Linked DNA regions of Sus scrofa. The protein of the gene in region 1 interacts with the protein of each later gene in a biochemical or structural test. Links are inferred from orthologs where the notes say so. Each region holds a gene or a part of one and is shown on either strand. Other genes may lie near its edges.

Region 1 (4,720 bases):
GGCCAGGGATCGACCCCATGTCCTCATGGATACTAGTTGGGTTCGTTAACCACTGAGCCACAATGGGAACTCCTCAGACCCTTTCTAATAGAGTATTTTACCACTCCTTCTGCTGAAGCCTCACAAGAAGCCTAGGAGGCAGGAATTGTCGTTACTAACCCATCTTCCAGATGAGAAAACTGAGGCTTAGAGAGAGGAAGGGACTTGCCCAGTGTCACCCAGCTGGGAAATGAGAAAATCAGGACTGGCCCCCAGGGCATCATGACCCCAGTCCACGCATGCCCTTAACCACCAGGGTGAGTGGCCTTTGCCCTGTCTCTCCTCCCCACCCGCCCCATTGCAGGAATGTCTACAAGGATTATCGGCAGCTGGAACTGGCCTGTGAGACACAGGAGGAAGTGGATAGCTGGAAGGCCTCCTTCCTGAGGGCTGGCGTGTACCCCGAGCGTGTTGGGGTGAGTGACAGGGGAGAGGGGGCACGCTGCTTAACATGGGGTCCCTGGGGTCCATCCTCAGGGATGCCAATCATGCCATATTCTTGAGCTGTTCTTGGGCTCAGAAATAGCTGGGGGAGTTCCTGTTGTGGCTCAGCGGATTAAGAACCTGACCCAGTGTCCGCGAGGATACTGGTTCCATCCCTGGCCTCGCTCAGTGGGTTGAGGAGCCTTGCTGCAAGCTTCAGTGTAGGTCGCAGATGCAGCTCAGATCTGGCATGGCTGTGGCTGGGGTGTAGGCCGGCAGCTGCAGCTCCAATTCGACCACTAGCCTGGGAACTTCCATAGGCTGCAGGTGTGGGCCTAAAAAAAAAGGAAAGAAAAAGAAAGAGGGATTCTCCCCCTACCTGCCCTGGGGTGGGATTGGAGTTAAGCCTTCCTTCCTCCCATCCTTCTCCAGCGCAGTTTACATACGCTTCCTCTGCCTCAGATGGCATTTTGCATCCTTTTTGTATGATGGTAGTTTCCTGCGACTGCCTTCACTTTTCTCCCCACTATCACGGGACAAGGTCTAGCGTTGCCCTTGGGCTGGGGAGCAGGGCCCTGGGTTCACTCCACCTCTCCTTGTTTTTCCTCTCTGCGTCTGCTTCGACTGTGCTCGATGGTGGTGGCGGCGGTGGGGACAATGCTGGTGTGGTGACCTCCATGGCTTTGGTGTGGGCCTCCCAGGACAAAGAGAAAGTGAGTGTGCCCGTCCCTCACCTTCTGCCAGGCATCTCCAGCCTAGAGCCAAATCTGGCCAGATCTTTCGACTTAGGAAGGGACCTTGGAGATGTCCTTGCCTGGTTTATGGACTGGGAAGAAGGCAAATTCTAGGCGCTAGAGTCACTGCCAAGATAAGGCTGATCGAGAGTCTGGGGTCCTGAGAGACTCTGGGGTGGGCAGAGCCCAGAGCTATGGGGGAGCTGGCATCTTTGTATACAGGCCAGTTGCTTCTCCTGTGCTTCAGTGTTCCAGGCTCCCTTAAAGGAGCTGGGACCCCGGGATGCCTGGAACCTGGCCTGGAGGGTCCAGACACCCTAATGCCCTCTGTTCTCAATGGCAGGCCAGTGAGACGGAGGAGAATGGCTCGGACAGCTTCATGCACTCCATGGACCCCCAGCTGGAGCGGCAGGTGGAGACCATCCGGAACCTCGTGGACTCGTACATGGCCATTGTCAACAAGACCGTCCGGGACCTCATGCCTAAGACCATCATGCACCTCATGATCAACAATGTGAGTGCATCACCACGCACGCGGGGGAAGGGGCCCTTTGGGGGACCGAGGAAGCAGGTGGCCAGGTTGGCCTGGGTGGGACAGAGTTTGGGGAGGGAGGCGCAGGTCCACACCAGAGCTGTCGAGTAGAAATATAACGTGAGCTTCGTATATTACTTTGTAGATTCACATACCCAAACGTGCTTCACTGTTTTCCAGAAGGGGCTAGGAATCTGCATCTTTTAAGAGCTCCCACACCATGTGTTGAAATACACACCCCCACAGAATCACTTCCACCTGTGGCTTAGTGAAAATACACGGCCGGAGGGAAATGAGAACCCTGTTGGAATCCTGGCTTTGCCGCAAGTTCGCTGGGTGACTTTAAGTAAACCACCTACCCTCTCTGAGCCTCTGTTTTCTTATACGTAAAATATGGATAATAGAAGAGTTGAGGATTCAATGAGTTCCCTGATGGCCTAACAGTTACAGATCTGGCGTTGTCACTGCTGTGGTGCCAGTTCGATCCCTGGCCCAGGAACTTCTGCGTACCAGAGCAAGGCCAAAAAAAGGAAAGTGCATGACAACACACCACCTGGCATGTAGGAGGTGCTCGGCATGTCATTAAATAACGAATAAATGAAACAGGCCTATGGTATTAAAAAAAACCCCAGGATCTCTCCATAAATGTTCCAGAGCCAGGGGCAGGTAACATCTGGAGATTTTAAGAACATTAACCCACCCCCTACATGCAGAAGCTTGCATTGCACCCAGTTCAGGCACACATTGACACCTGTTATTCAAGGGCTCAGGAGATTTTAAACTGTCCTCTTCCTTACTGAGGTCCAGTGGAGCATACAAGTCCTTGGAAACGGTGTAACTGCCTTCTTTTACACTGAGGAAACTGAGGCCGAAACAAGCTGTGTGGCCCGTTGTCCTGGTTGCATGATAGGCCCTGAGTTTCCGCTCAGATCTATGACCTTAAACAGTTCACTCTTCTTCTCTGGACCATCTGAGAAAAAGAGCAAGGGAAGCGAGGGAGATCTCTTGAGTTTAGGCAGTGGCTGAGCCCCATTCCCGAGCTCCAAGTCCTAGTCGGGGCCGGCGGGGCGGGCAAATTGGTACAGGCCTCAAATCCAAACCCTCTCCTCTCTTTGCCTGCCCTCAGACCAAGGAATTCATCTTCTCGGAGCTTCTGGCCAACCTCTACTCGTGCGGGGACCAGAACACACTGATGGAGGAGTCCGCCGAGCAGGCGCAGCGGCGAGACGAGATGCTGCGCATGTACCACGCACTGAAGGAGGCGCTTAGCATCATCGGCGACATCAACACGACCACTGTCAGCACGCCCATGCCCCCGCCCGTGGACGACTCCTGGCTGCAGGTGCAAAGCATACCGGCCGGACGCAGGTACCAGGGCCGGCCCCCACGGCCCCAAAGCCCCCCAGCCCGGGGCCCGCGGGAGGAGGGCCGGGACCGGGCAGTGGCGCGCCCGCGTCACCGGGGCGGCTCCCACCTGGAGCGAGGGGCGGAGCTTAGAGAGGGGCGGGGCTTTTGCGGGGCGGGGCTTGCCGTGGAGCGCTGGCTGCGGGGCGGGGTGGAGCGTCTGGGGCCGGGCTTTAACTCGGCCGAAAACCCTAGGGCGCATCGGGGCGGGGCTTGTGCGCATGGGCGTGGCCGGCACCGGGCTGGGGGCGGGCCCTCTGGGTGGGCAGAGAGGCTCAATCTCTCTCTCCCCTCCTTGTCCTTTGCTCCCCGTCGCCCGCAGGTCACCCACGTCCAGCCCCACGCCGCAGCGCCGAGCCCCCGCCGTGCCCCAGCCCGGCCCGGGTCGCGGGGCCCTGCTCCTGGGCCTCCGCCTGCTGGGTCCGCCCTCGGGGGGGCACCCCCCGTGCCCTCCAGGCCGGGGGCTTCCCCTGACCCCTTCGGTCCTCCCCCCCAGGTGCCCTCGCGCCCCAACCGCGCCCCGCCCGGGGTCCCCAGGTGAGTAGGGCTGAAAGCGGCGGCAAAGACCGCCGGGCGGGCGTGGCCGGGAGGGAGGTGGGGCCGGATTCTGGAGCTCCGGCGCTGGTCGCCAGACCTGGCCCTCTCCATCCAAGTCACTCGGACTGTGGGTGCCAGAGCCACGAGGAAGTGTGGCAGAGGGCTGGCGGAGCCTGCTCCCCAGGGAGTGCTGAGTCCCGCAGGTGGTCGTTTCTGGGGAGGGGGCCGTGGGGCTCCTCCCACCTGCCCCCGTCTCTCCAGCACTTGCATGGCGCTTCCATCCTTTTTCACTGTCTCCCACACATTGCATCCCTTCCCCTTTCCCTTCCTAGCTGCTCTCCGCCGTTCTCCATTCCATCTATCCTATTCTGTCCTCTACTTCTCTCTCCCAGCCCCCAGTGAGCCCTCAGGTCTGAGGATCTGACTGCCATCCTCTCCGGATTTATAGACTTACACTCAGGGCTACCCGGATGCCCCCACTTCCCAGTCCTGACTCTTTGGACCTGTGCCAGGGGGATGTCTGGCCTCTGGCCCACAGGAACAGAGGCCAGGCTGTGACTGTGTGACCAGTACGGTGTGTGATGTGTGTGTGGGCGTGCACATGGGTGTGAGAGTGTACGAATGGCACCCAGACATGGGATAGGACATGGAACAGCTAGGGCAAGGGTCCGGGAGCCACGGGGCAGCCAGATGGCTTTCTCCCTTCCCCCTGCCCCTGGCCTGGACCAACGTGGTGCGGGGGCGGGGGGAGGCAGGAGCCGATGAAGGCTGCCCCATTCCCAGAGATTTTCCAGAGAAAAGGATTCTACGTCATCCCTTGGCCTTGCCTTCTTGATTCATGAGCCTCTTTCAAGGAAGCCCACTCTGATGGCTCACTCAGTCTGCCCTGTTTCTACTGGCCATGTGCCCTGTGAGGAAGAACACATCAGACCCATAGCATTGGTTTATGTTTCCAGATGGCTGGAGGGTAGGGCCGTGGGTTCTAGCCTCCAGGAACCTAAAATGAAGCAGAGATGGGACCTGCTCTGTGGTGACCCGATGACCAGGGCAG
Region 2 (4,720 bases), on another chromosome or scaffold:
CCCTCTGGTCCACAACAGGTGCTGCCTACAGTATCATGGCTGTGGGGAGGCCACCCTCCCACCACAGCTGGGTCAGGGCAGACCTGGGTGCCTTTGAAGAGGTGGGAAGGTAGCTTGTGAACACCCATCATCACCAGCCCCTGTGGCTCTGTGTCAGATTTCAGGGTCCCTTGTTCTCAATTCTGGCGTCCAGGTCCTTGGCATGGGGTATCTCAACCCTAGGGGCCAAGGCCTCCTGTGACAGCTTCCTCCCCCAGGTGATGCCCTGCTGGACGCCGGGGAGTCCATGAAGCGCCTGGCTGAGGTGAAGGACTCCCTGGACATAGAGGTCAAGCAGAACTTCATCGATCCCCTCCAGAACCTGTGTGACAAGGACCTGAAGGAGATCCAGGTGTGCCAGGCCCGCCTTCACTTCCACCCCCAGACAGCCCAGCCTGGGCCAGGTTTCCAGTGGGAAGGGCTGAGGGGAATCAGGCAGCCCTCCCTCCCCGAGGTCCCAGACCAGCAGTGTGACCTGCGTCCCTGACCCCTAGCACCACCTGAAGAAGCTGGAAGGCCGCCGCCTGGACTTTGATTACAAGAAGAAGCGGCAGGGCAAGATCCCCGACGAGGAGCTGCGTCAGGCCATGGAGAAGTTTGAGGAGTCCAAGGAGGTGGCTGAGACCAGCATGCACAACCTCCTGGAGACCGATGTACGTACTGGGCTGAAAGCCCCTAGAACAAGGAGCCCAGTGGTGGCGCTAGCTTCCCCCAGCTGGTGGGCAGGCTCAGCGCCTATTTAGGGCATGAAGGAAGAGGGAACAGGAAGGTAGGGACCAGCCTACTGAGGCTTTGGGGTCTCCTCAGGCCCTTTACCCTCCTTTGGCTGTATTTCAAGGGTTAGGTGGACAGGACGGGGCCAGGCTTCTGTGTCTGGAACAGTCTGGGAAGGCTCCCTGCAGGAGGCAGCCTAGAGATGGGGGTCAGAAAGAGGGCAGCTCTTCAGTCCTGGCTGGTCCCTTGCAGATCGAGCAGGTGAGCCAGCTTTCCGCCCTGGTGGACGCCCAGCTGGACTACCACCGGCAGGCCGTGCAGATCCTGGACGAGCTGGCGGACAAGCTCAAGCGAAGGTGAGCCAGTTCCCTGCTCCTGGCCTTCCCTGTGGGAGCCCCCACCCGCTCTGCTGCCCAGGAGGCCCAGTGCCCACGCCAGCCCTTCTGGAAGATGTGCCCGCTTCTGGACAGCTAAGCCTGCTGTGAGCACATTCCTTCCAGAGCAGCGGGGTTGCCTCCTTTTCAGAAAGGATCCCCAAGCTGCATGAGTAGGTGGGGGGGGGGGGGCTCAGGGGGAAGCAGGACCTCCTCTCACTTATCCTGGTCCCAGAGGAGAGGCTTGGGGAGGTCCGCTGAGGGGAGGGTTTGTCCAGGCTGGTGTCCCCTGACCCTGGCCCCTTCCTTTCCTTCCCTGTCTCCTAGAGGGGCACTTGGGCTCCTCTCTGAGGGGGATCTTGCAGTCAGGCAGTGTCGAGGACCTGAGGTGGAAGCCCTTGTGGGTAGTAGTCCCTGGCGGTAGGGGGGTGTCTGTGGGCATCAGCTTCCCAGGCACCACTGCTGAGGAGGCTTCTGGGTTCAGTAGGACCCAGCTGGTCCCAGCATTCCGCCGTGCACAGTGCTTGCCCTCACAACCTCCCATGGGCATAAACAGCTGGGAGCGCTGTTAGGACGCAGCCCTACAGCTGCAGCTGCTCACTTGCTCCCTTCCATGCAGGATGCGAGAAGCCTCTTCACGCCCCAAGCGGGAGTATAAGCCCAAGCCCCGGGAGCCCTTGGACCTGGGAGAGCCTGAGCAGTCCAATGGGGGCTTCCCCTGTGCCACGGCCCCCAAGATCACAGGTAACCAGCAGGAGGGTGCGCTCTGTCCCAGGCCCATCCAGGGCAGCCCGAGCCCACCATCCATCCAACCATGGGCTGGTTCTCTCGAGAGGGCCCTGGGATGGGCCCCAGGCCCCAGCCCTGCATTCTCATCCCGCCTCTGTGCTTTGTCTGCAAGCAGCTTCGTCATCCTTCCGGTCTTCCGACAAGCCCACCCGGACCCCCAGCAGCAGGAGCATGCGTGAGTATCTTCCCGCAGGTGCTGGCCCTGCCCTGTGTTTATGATGTGGCCTGCTAGTATGTTCCAGAAGGATCTTTCTCCTCCTCCCTGTCTCTTGTAGAAGTGGAGCTGGGCCTCCCTCTGCTCTGAGTGGCACCCTGTGCCCTTGTGGTCACTGTCATCCTGATGCTACCAGGTGACCCCAGCTCCTCCTGGGAGCGTTCTGATGACCACTCACAGAGCCCTTTTCCTTCCTCTGCTCCTCTGACAGTTCTGGGAGCCAGAGAGGAGGGAGCAGTGGCCTGGGCAGGAAGGGAGGCGGTGTCACGCTGCACACCTGCAGGGGCAGGTGACAAGCCAGACCTTCCCCCGCCCCCAGCACCCCTGGACCAGCCAAGCTGCAAGGCCCTGTACGACTTTGAGCCTGAGAATGACGGGGAGCTGGGCTTCCACGAGGGCGACATCATCACCCTGACCAACCAGATCGACGAGAACTGGTACGAGGGCATGCTCCATGGCCAGTCTGGCTTCTTCCCGCTCAGCTACGTGGAGGTGCTGGTGCCACTGCCCCAGTGACAGCGTCTCGGTGACACACTGGCCCACCTGCCCCTCCGTCCAGATCTCTGCATTCCACAGGCCCGTGGCGAGGGCAGAGCTCGCAGCCTGCAGGGTGGCCTCCTCCCCACCTGGACCAGGGGCATGGGGCCCCTGTTTACACTAGCGATAACCCCCGGTGGGGGCTCCCTTCCCCACTCCACGTGGCCATCTTGGGGGCTGGGCAGTGTTCCTCTTCCTGCTGCTCGCTGACTGCCCCCCAGCCCCGCCCAAGGGGGCTCACACTAAGGTGCTCTTAGAAACACTAACTCCTCCTGCCCCCTCCAGGGACTGGTAACGCCAGGTGGGCCCCCTTCACATACTCGCACCCACACTGTCCTCTCGCCACCCTGTGTTCCTCCATCTGGAGACCTGCCCTCAACAGGATGGAACTGAACATCTGTATGATGGCTGGTCTGGGCGGGACCCCTGGCTGAGACTCACCACCCTGCTTTTAAATTGCCCCAGGAAACTCCTCCCAGGGCCCCTGAACACCTACAGATGCCACCTACCTGGGAAGGCCTCACCCTTTCCCTCCAGGCCAGGCGCTTGGGGAGAGACGAGCCTGGGGTCCTCAGGGGCCTTCTCGGCAGCACTCAGGTGGCCATGTCTCCCTCCTGCAGGCTGCTGAGTCCCACACCCCACACTGGGCCAAGCACAACCTACCACCACCAGCACGTGCTCACACTCACACTCACACACACACACACACACACACACGGGACCACGGGAGCCCAGCCTCCACTCTGGAAGGTCAAGCACAAAGGCTTTGATAAGTGAATGTCCCCAGGACCCCTGGGGCCCTATGGGGGAGTCACGGGCATCTCTTGGTCCTGAGCCAATCACCATACCCCTTTGGACAGTGGTCCAGGCTATCTCCTCCAGACCAAGGTAGGCAGTTGCCCGGACCAGCAGGGCCCCAGCCCTGCACCCACTTCCTCTCTTGCCTAGTCCAAAAGCTGGCTAAACAGGGGACCCCGGGGCCTGATTCACATTCCCCTCCTCTGGTGACCTGGTAAAGCCCTCAAGGACACCAGGCTCTCCCTGCTCACCCCCGAGGCCCCCTGGTTGCCAGTACATGGAGGAGGCACAGACATCACGGCCTAGGGCAGACTGAAATGTAATCCTGATTTTTTTAAAAAAAGAAGTATTAAACGTCTCTTTCTACAGCCTTTTGTCTGGTTGCAGGGCAGGGTGGGCCCTCCTGAGGGGTCTCCAGCCAGAGCAGGGCCCACATGGGCACCAGCCCACAGTGAGCCCAAGAGGGATGTCCTTCGCTTGCCCAGTCACTGGCACTGGCAGTATGTGCCTGAAAGGCCCCTCCCCACAGCCACGGCTGCACAAATGGCGTCCCCGCCTGCACCTGGGAGACACAAGCTTGGGCTGTTTCTCTCCTTTATTATCTGAGCTCTTGTGGTCACACAACTCAGTCACACAGGAACAGAGCAGCACAGCCGCAGACAAAGGCCCTGAACCCATTCCCCTCACCCAGAGCTGCCGGGGACCAAGAATGACCAAAGGTCACCCAGGTCCTTGGAAGCTGGTGCCCTCAGCTCCCCTGCTTGAGGATGCTGTAAACCTGCTCCAGCACGTGGCACAGGCCCTGGTCCTTGGACGTCCTGCTGGCCAGGGACATCTGAAACAAGCAGGCCTGGCCTCAGGGCTGCAGCCCGGCAGAGGGGCTGTCCTAACCTAGGCACCTGCTTAAAGACATGCCTTCTTTTTATTTTTTGGTGTTTTTAAGTCCACACCCACGGCATATGGAGGTTTCCAGGCTAGTGTCTAATCAGAGCTGTAGTCACTGGCCTACGCCACAGCCACACCAGATCCAAGCCACGTCTGTGGCCTACATCACAGCTCACAGCAACACTGGATCCTCAACCCACTGAGCGAGGCCAGGGATCGAACCCACATCCTCATGGACACGAGTCAGATTAGTTTCTGCTGAGCCAGGACAGGAACTCCAGGACATGCCTTCTTTTTAAAGAGAAGTACATTTCGACTTGAAGGCCCAAGTATGTCATCATTTAGGGGCAGGGTCCCCCGCCATACTGTC
Region 3 (4,036 bases), about 64 Mb from region 1:
GGGTGAGCAGAATACTTTGCCTGCCTGTACCTTTCCACCTTTCTTCCTTCTTCCTTGGCTTCTTTCCTTTCCCTCTGTGCTGTTCTCAGAACACACAGTATTTCCTCCTCTCCTCCCCCCACACCTTCTCAAGCTCTGCATGGAATAACTTTCTTCTGGAAACAACTGTTTATCTAGAAATGACTTCTGATGATCTTTCACCTCTGTCCTTAAGCCTTCTCCAGCCTCCCCTGGGACAGGTAGCTCCTCCCCATCTCACTGCCAGCTCCATCCCTGTGTTCCTGCAGCATTTGGTACAAATCTCCATGGCAGCACTTATTACAATTCACGGTAATCAGTTGTTTGTGTTCTGTCTCCACTCCAGACCATAAGCTGTTTGAGGGTAAGAATTGTGTCTTACTCACCTTTTGTGTTCCTGGTGCCTAGCGCAGTGCAGACTTGCAGAGTGAGCTCGGAATTAATGAGGGAGAACCTGAGAGGAAGGATGAAAGCAATGAGGGTATAACTGCAGAGAGCGTGACCCCAGCGCCCAAGTGGAGACAGACACAGATAAGAAAACTGAGGGTCCTTTTCAGATTTCACCTGCTCCACAGTGGTAGATTGGTAGCTAGTCAAAGCATTTTCTCGATTTAATTGCTTTTCTTTTTGCTTCTTAATTGACTACACATCCCACCTCCCACCTCCTACCTTTTCTTTTTCTTTCTTTCTTTCTTTCTTTCTTTCTTTCTTTCTTTCTTTCTTTCTTTCTTTCTTTCTTTCTTTCTTTCTTTCTTCCTTTCTTTCTTCCTTCCTTCCTTCCTTCCTTCCTTCCTTCCTTCCTTTCTTCCTTTCTTCCTTTCTTCCTTTCTTTCTTCCTTTCTTTCTTCCTTTCTTTCTTCCTTTCTTTCTTCCTTTCTTTCTTCCTTTCTTTCTTTCTTTCTTTCTCTGTCTGTCTGTCTGTCTGTCTTTGTAAAGGCCACACCTGCAGCATATGGAGGTTTGCAGGTTAGGGGTTGAATCAAACTACAGCTGCCAGCCACAGTCACAGACACAGCCACGCCAGATCTGAGACATGTGCTTGACCTACAGCACAGCTCACAGCAACGCCGGATCCTTAACCCACTAAGTAGGGCTAGGGATTGACCCTTCATCCTCATGTCAGATTCGTTTCCAACAAGCCACGACAGGAACTCCCCATCTTTTCTCTTTAATGCAGAATAAGACAAGCTTCATCTCAGCCTCGAAGGGAGTATCAGCCCAAACCTCGAATGAGCCTGGAGTTTCCAACTGGGGACAGCACTCAGCCCAATGGGGGCCTCTCCCACACAGGCACCCCCAAACCTGCAGGTAAGTATCGGATCCCTGGTACATGGCCTTGGCCACGCCCCATGAACACTCTTCCAGAAATTCTAGGAGCAATCCCATCTGGCTACATAAGAATTATGCAGGAATATATTTCTTACAGGATGGTTTTGTCAGGTAGAAACTCTCTTAAAGGAGTTCCTTCTTGTCTCATTCATTCTCTTTCCCTCCTTTACTCTCTCTCTCCTCTGTAAAGCCTTCATTGTACGTCCCTTTTACCCTCAGTCTCCATCGGCGCACACTTACCTGCTTTAACACATTTGATACTGACCCTCTTTTGTGGTCTTTAAATCACTGTAATATGTCAGTTGAGTTGTAGGGATGTCATCTTCTTTCCTGTCTGTCCCTTTCTGTGATTCCAGCATGCGTGGGGGTGAGTGCCCCAAGGCAGTGCATGCCCTTGTACACTCACACATACCCCACAGATGGCAGCTCCAGAAACCTGCTGCGTTGGGTTTCTTGAGGCCCACGAACATGAGGGTGAATATATTTGCAGATGAATATATTTTGAATCCCACTATCTGCTGGATTTTCTTCCCCTCCCCACCCTCCACCAGTTCATTGTGCTATGGTAACAGGTAGGTGCATTAAAAGCTGAAAATTATTTTCTTTCAGAGATGTAGATGTATAACTGATTGTATTATTCTTTTACTTGGTCCCACTGCTTTCTACCCCCTGCATACAGAACAGATAAAAGCCTGTGCTTGAGGTATATTCATCCTTAAGAATCTGCTTGGTCGAAGAGTGGGAACTGCCTTATCCTGGATATGGATGTTAAGGATGGGAAGCTCTCTCCTGTTTCCCTGTATCCCCAGTGCTGGATGTTCTACAGAAGGAAATGTTTTATGAGATGCTCTCAGGAGACCATGAAGGCAAAAAGGGAGGGTGTGATGACCATTGGCTCTGCTCCTCGGGCTTACCTCTGCTGCTCAGAGCCCTCGTGTGGGGCTTTTGCTGGTTATAAGGACTAGGCACATAATGTAACCTGGCTTCTCCCTGCTCAGAAAGCAAACACATATCTCATTTTTCTTTTGGAGACTTGTTAATTTGCTTTCTCTAAGTTAAAAAAAATCATTATCAGAGTTTCCGTCGTGGCTCAGTGGTTAATGAATCCGACTAGGAACCAGGAGGTTGCGGGTTCGGTCCCTGGCCTTGCTCAGTGGGTTAAAGGATCCGGCGTTGCCGTGAGTTGTGGTGTAGGTCGCAGATGCGGCTCGGATCCTGTGTTGCTGTGGCTCTGGTGTAGGCCGGTGGCTATGGCTCTGATTCGACCCCTAGCCTGGGAACCTCCATATGCCATGGGAACAGCCCTAGAAAAGACAAAAAGACCAAAAAAAAAAAAAAAAAATCATTGTCCCCCTTCAGAGCCATCCAGGTGGCATGGAGCTGTTTCCACTTGCCTGAGTTTATACGCATGTGTGTATGCCTGCTATGGTAATACTTTTGCTCATTTAACAGTTTTCTCTCTCTCTCTCTCTTTTTTTTTTTTTTTTTGTCTCTTTTTTAGGGCCACACCCATGGCATCTGGAGGTTCCCAGGCTAGGGGTTGAATTGGAGCTGTAGCTGCCAGCCTACGCTACAGCCACAGCAATGCAGGATCTGAGCTGCGTCCGAGACCTACGCCACAGCTCATGGCAATGCTGGATCTTTAACTCACTGAGTGAGGCCAGGGATCAAACCCACGTCCTCATGAAAACTAGTTGGATTTGATAACTCTGAGCCACAATGGGAACTCCAACACAGTTCTCTTTTAAGATAGGATTCCATCCTTCATTATTTAATTCAATGTAGAATCTATTATTTTTTATATTCCATAGCTCTGATACATACCTCTTATTTATATAGGTAATGTGATGTGGAGGTGGAAATTGTATCATTTTTTATGTAATCCCATTTAATAGCCACGGTAGTACTGTGAAGTAAGTTCTTTTAGTTCCAATTTTAGAAAAACTGAGAGTGAAGTGCCATGTGCAAGGGTCACGGAGAGTAGCATCTCGAACCCAGTGTTTTATATTGTCTTGTTTTCATCACATTACTGTGGCTCTCCAGAGGCTGGGGATCTTTATTTTTTAAAAGTAAGAAATGCACCATTATTCTGAAGTCCCAAAGCCCTGTCTGTATACTTTACTGTTTCACACGTGCAGAGATTTTAAAGAGGTTAGCATGAAAAGAATTCTGTCCATGCTCCATTATGAATCTAAAGTCCATGAAGACTCCTTAAGTCATTGGGACTCCTATTGCTGAGCACTGTAGGATGGTCAGCCTTGTTGAAATGTGTTGTACCTACCTATCATGAGAATAGATGTGGCCATGTTTTCATACTGGAAATAGAAACAGGAATTCAACAACTTCCGGAGATGTAAGAAAGCTTCTGAAGATGGGGAGAGGGCAAGGTGCCATGCCACAGATACTGGGGACCAGTGGCAAGAGGAAGCTTCAGCAGGAAGAGGAGTGAGGGAGGAACCCAGGGGGACAGTAGGCTGGGCAGGCGCAGCATGCAGCAGATATGTGAGTTAAATTCCCCTGTCTCTCTGTGTTCTCTCCTGCTCTGTTCCTCAGGTGCCCCAATGGATCAGCCCTGCTGCCGAGCTCTGTATGACTTTGAACCTGAAAATGAAGGGGAGTTGGGTTTTAAAGAGGGTGATATCATCACACTCACCAACCAGATTGATGAGAACTGGTATGAGGGGATGCT

Evidence for each region.
Region 2: the proteins of DNM1 (region 1) and SH3GL1 form a complex in vitro, tested with the Homo sapiens proteins (2 studies listed by BioGRID and IntAct, with this or other methods). The link is inferred for Sus scrofa from reciprocal best matches to the Homo sapiens genes DNM1 and SH3GL1.
Region 3: the proteins of DNM1 (region 1) and SH3GL2 form a complex in vitro, tested with the Homo sapiens proteins (2 studies listed by BioGRID and IntAct, with this or other methods). The link is inferred for Sus scrofa from reciprocal best matches to the Homo sapiens genes DNM1 and SH3GL2.

What each region holds. Positions count from the first base shown.
Region 1 is NC_010443.5:268,694,052-268,698,771, forward strand, and holds part of DNM1 (dynamin-1), read left to right. Parts: intron 1-343; coding exon 344-455; intron 456-1,163; coding exon 1,164-1,175; intron 1,176-1,539; coding exon 1,540-1,710; intron 1,711-2,854; coding exon 2,855-3,096; intron 3,097-3,454; coding exon 3,455-3,669; intron 3,670-4,720. UniProt on the Homo sapiens protein: Catalyzes the hydrolysis of GTP and utilizes this energy to mediate vesicle scission and participates in many forms of endocytosis, such as clathrin-mediated endocytosis or synaptic vesicle endocytosis as well as rapid endocytosis (RE).
Region 2 is NC_010444.4:74,441,618-74,446,337, forward strand, and holds the end of SH3GL1 (endophilin-A2), read left to right. Parts: intron 1-257; coding exon 258-391; intron 392-533; coding exon 534-692; intron 693-1,005; coding exon 1,006-1,109; intron 1,110-1,746; coding exon 1,747-1,871; intron 1,872-2,028; coding exon 2,029-2,091; intron 2,092-2,449; coding exon 2,450-2,646; 3' UTR 2,647-3,833; downstream 3,834-4,720. UniProt on the Homo sapiens protein: Implicated in endocytosis. May recruit other proteins to membranes with high curvature.
Region 3 is NC_010443.5:205,082,664-205,086,699, reverse strand, and holds part of SH3GL2 (endophilin-A1), read left to right. Parts: intron 1-1,195; coding exon 1,196-1,326; intron 1,327-3,900; coding exon 3,901-4,036. UniProt on the Homo sapiens protein: Implicated in synaptic vesicle endocytosis. May recruit other proteins to membranes with high curvature. Required for BDNF-dependent dendrite outgrowth.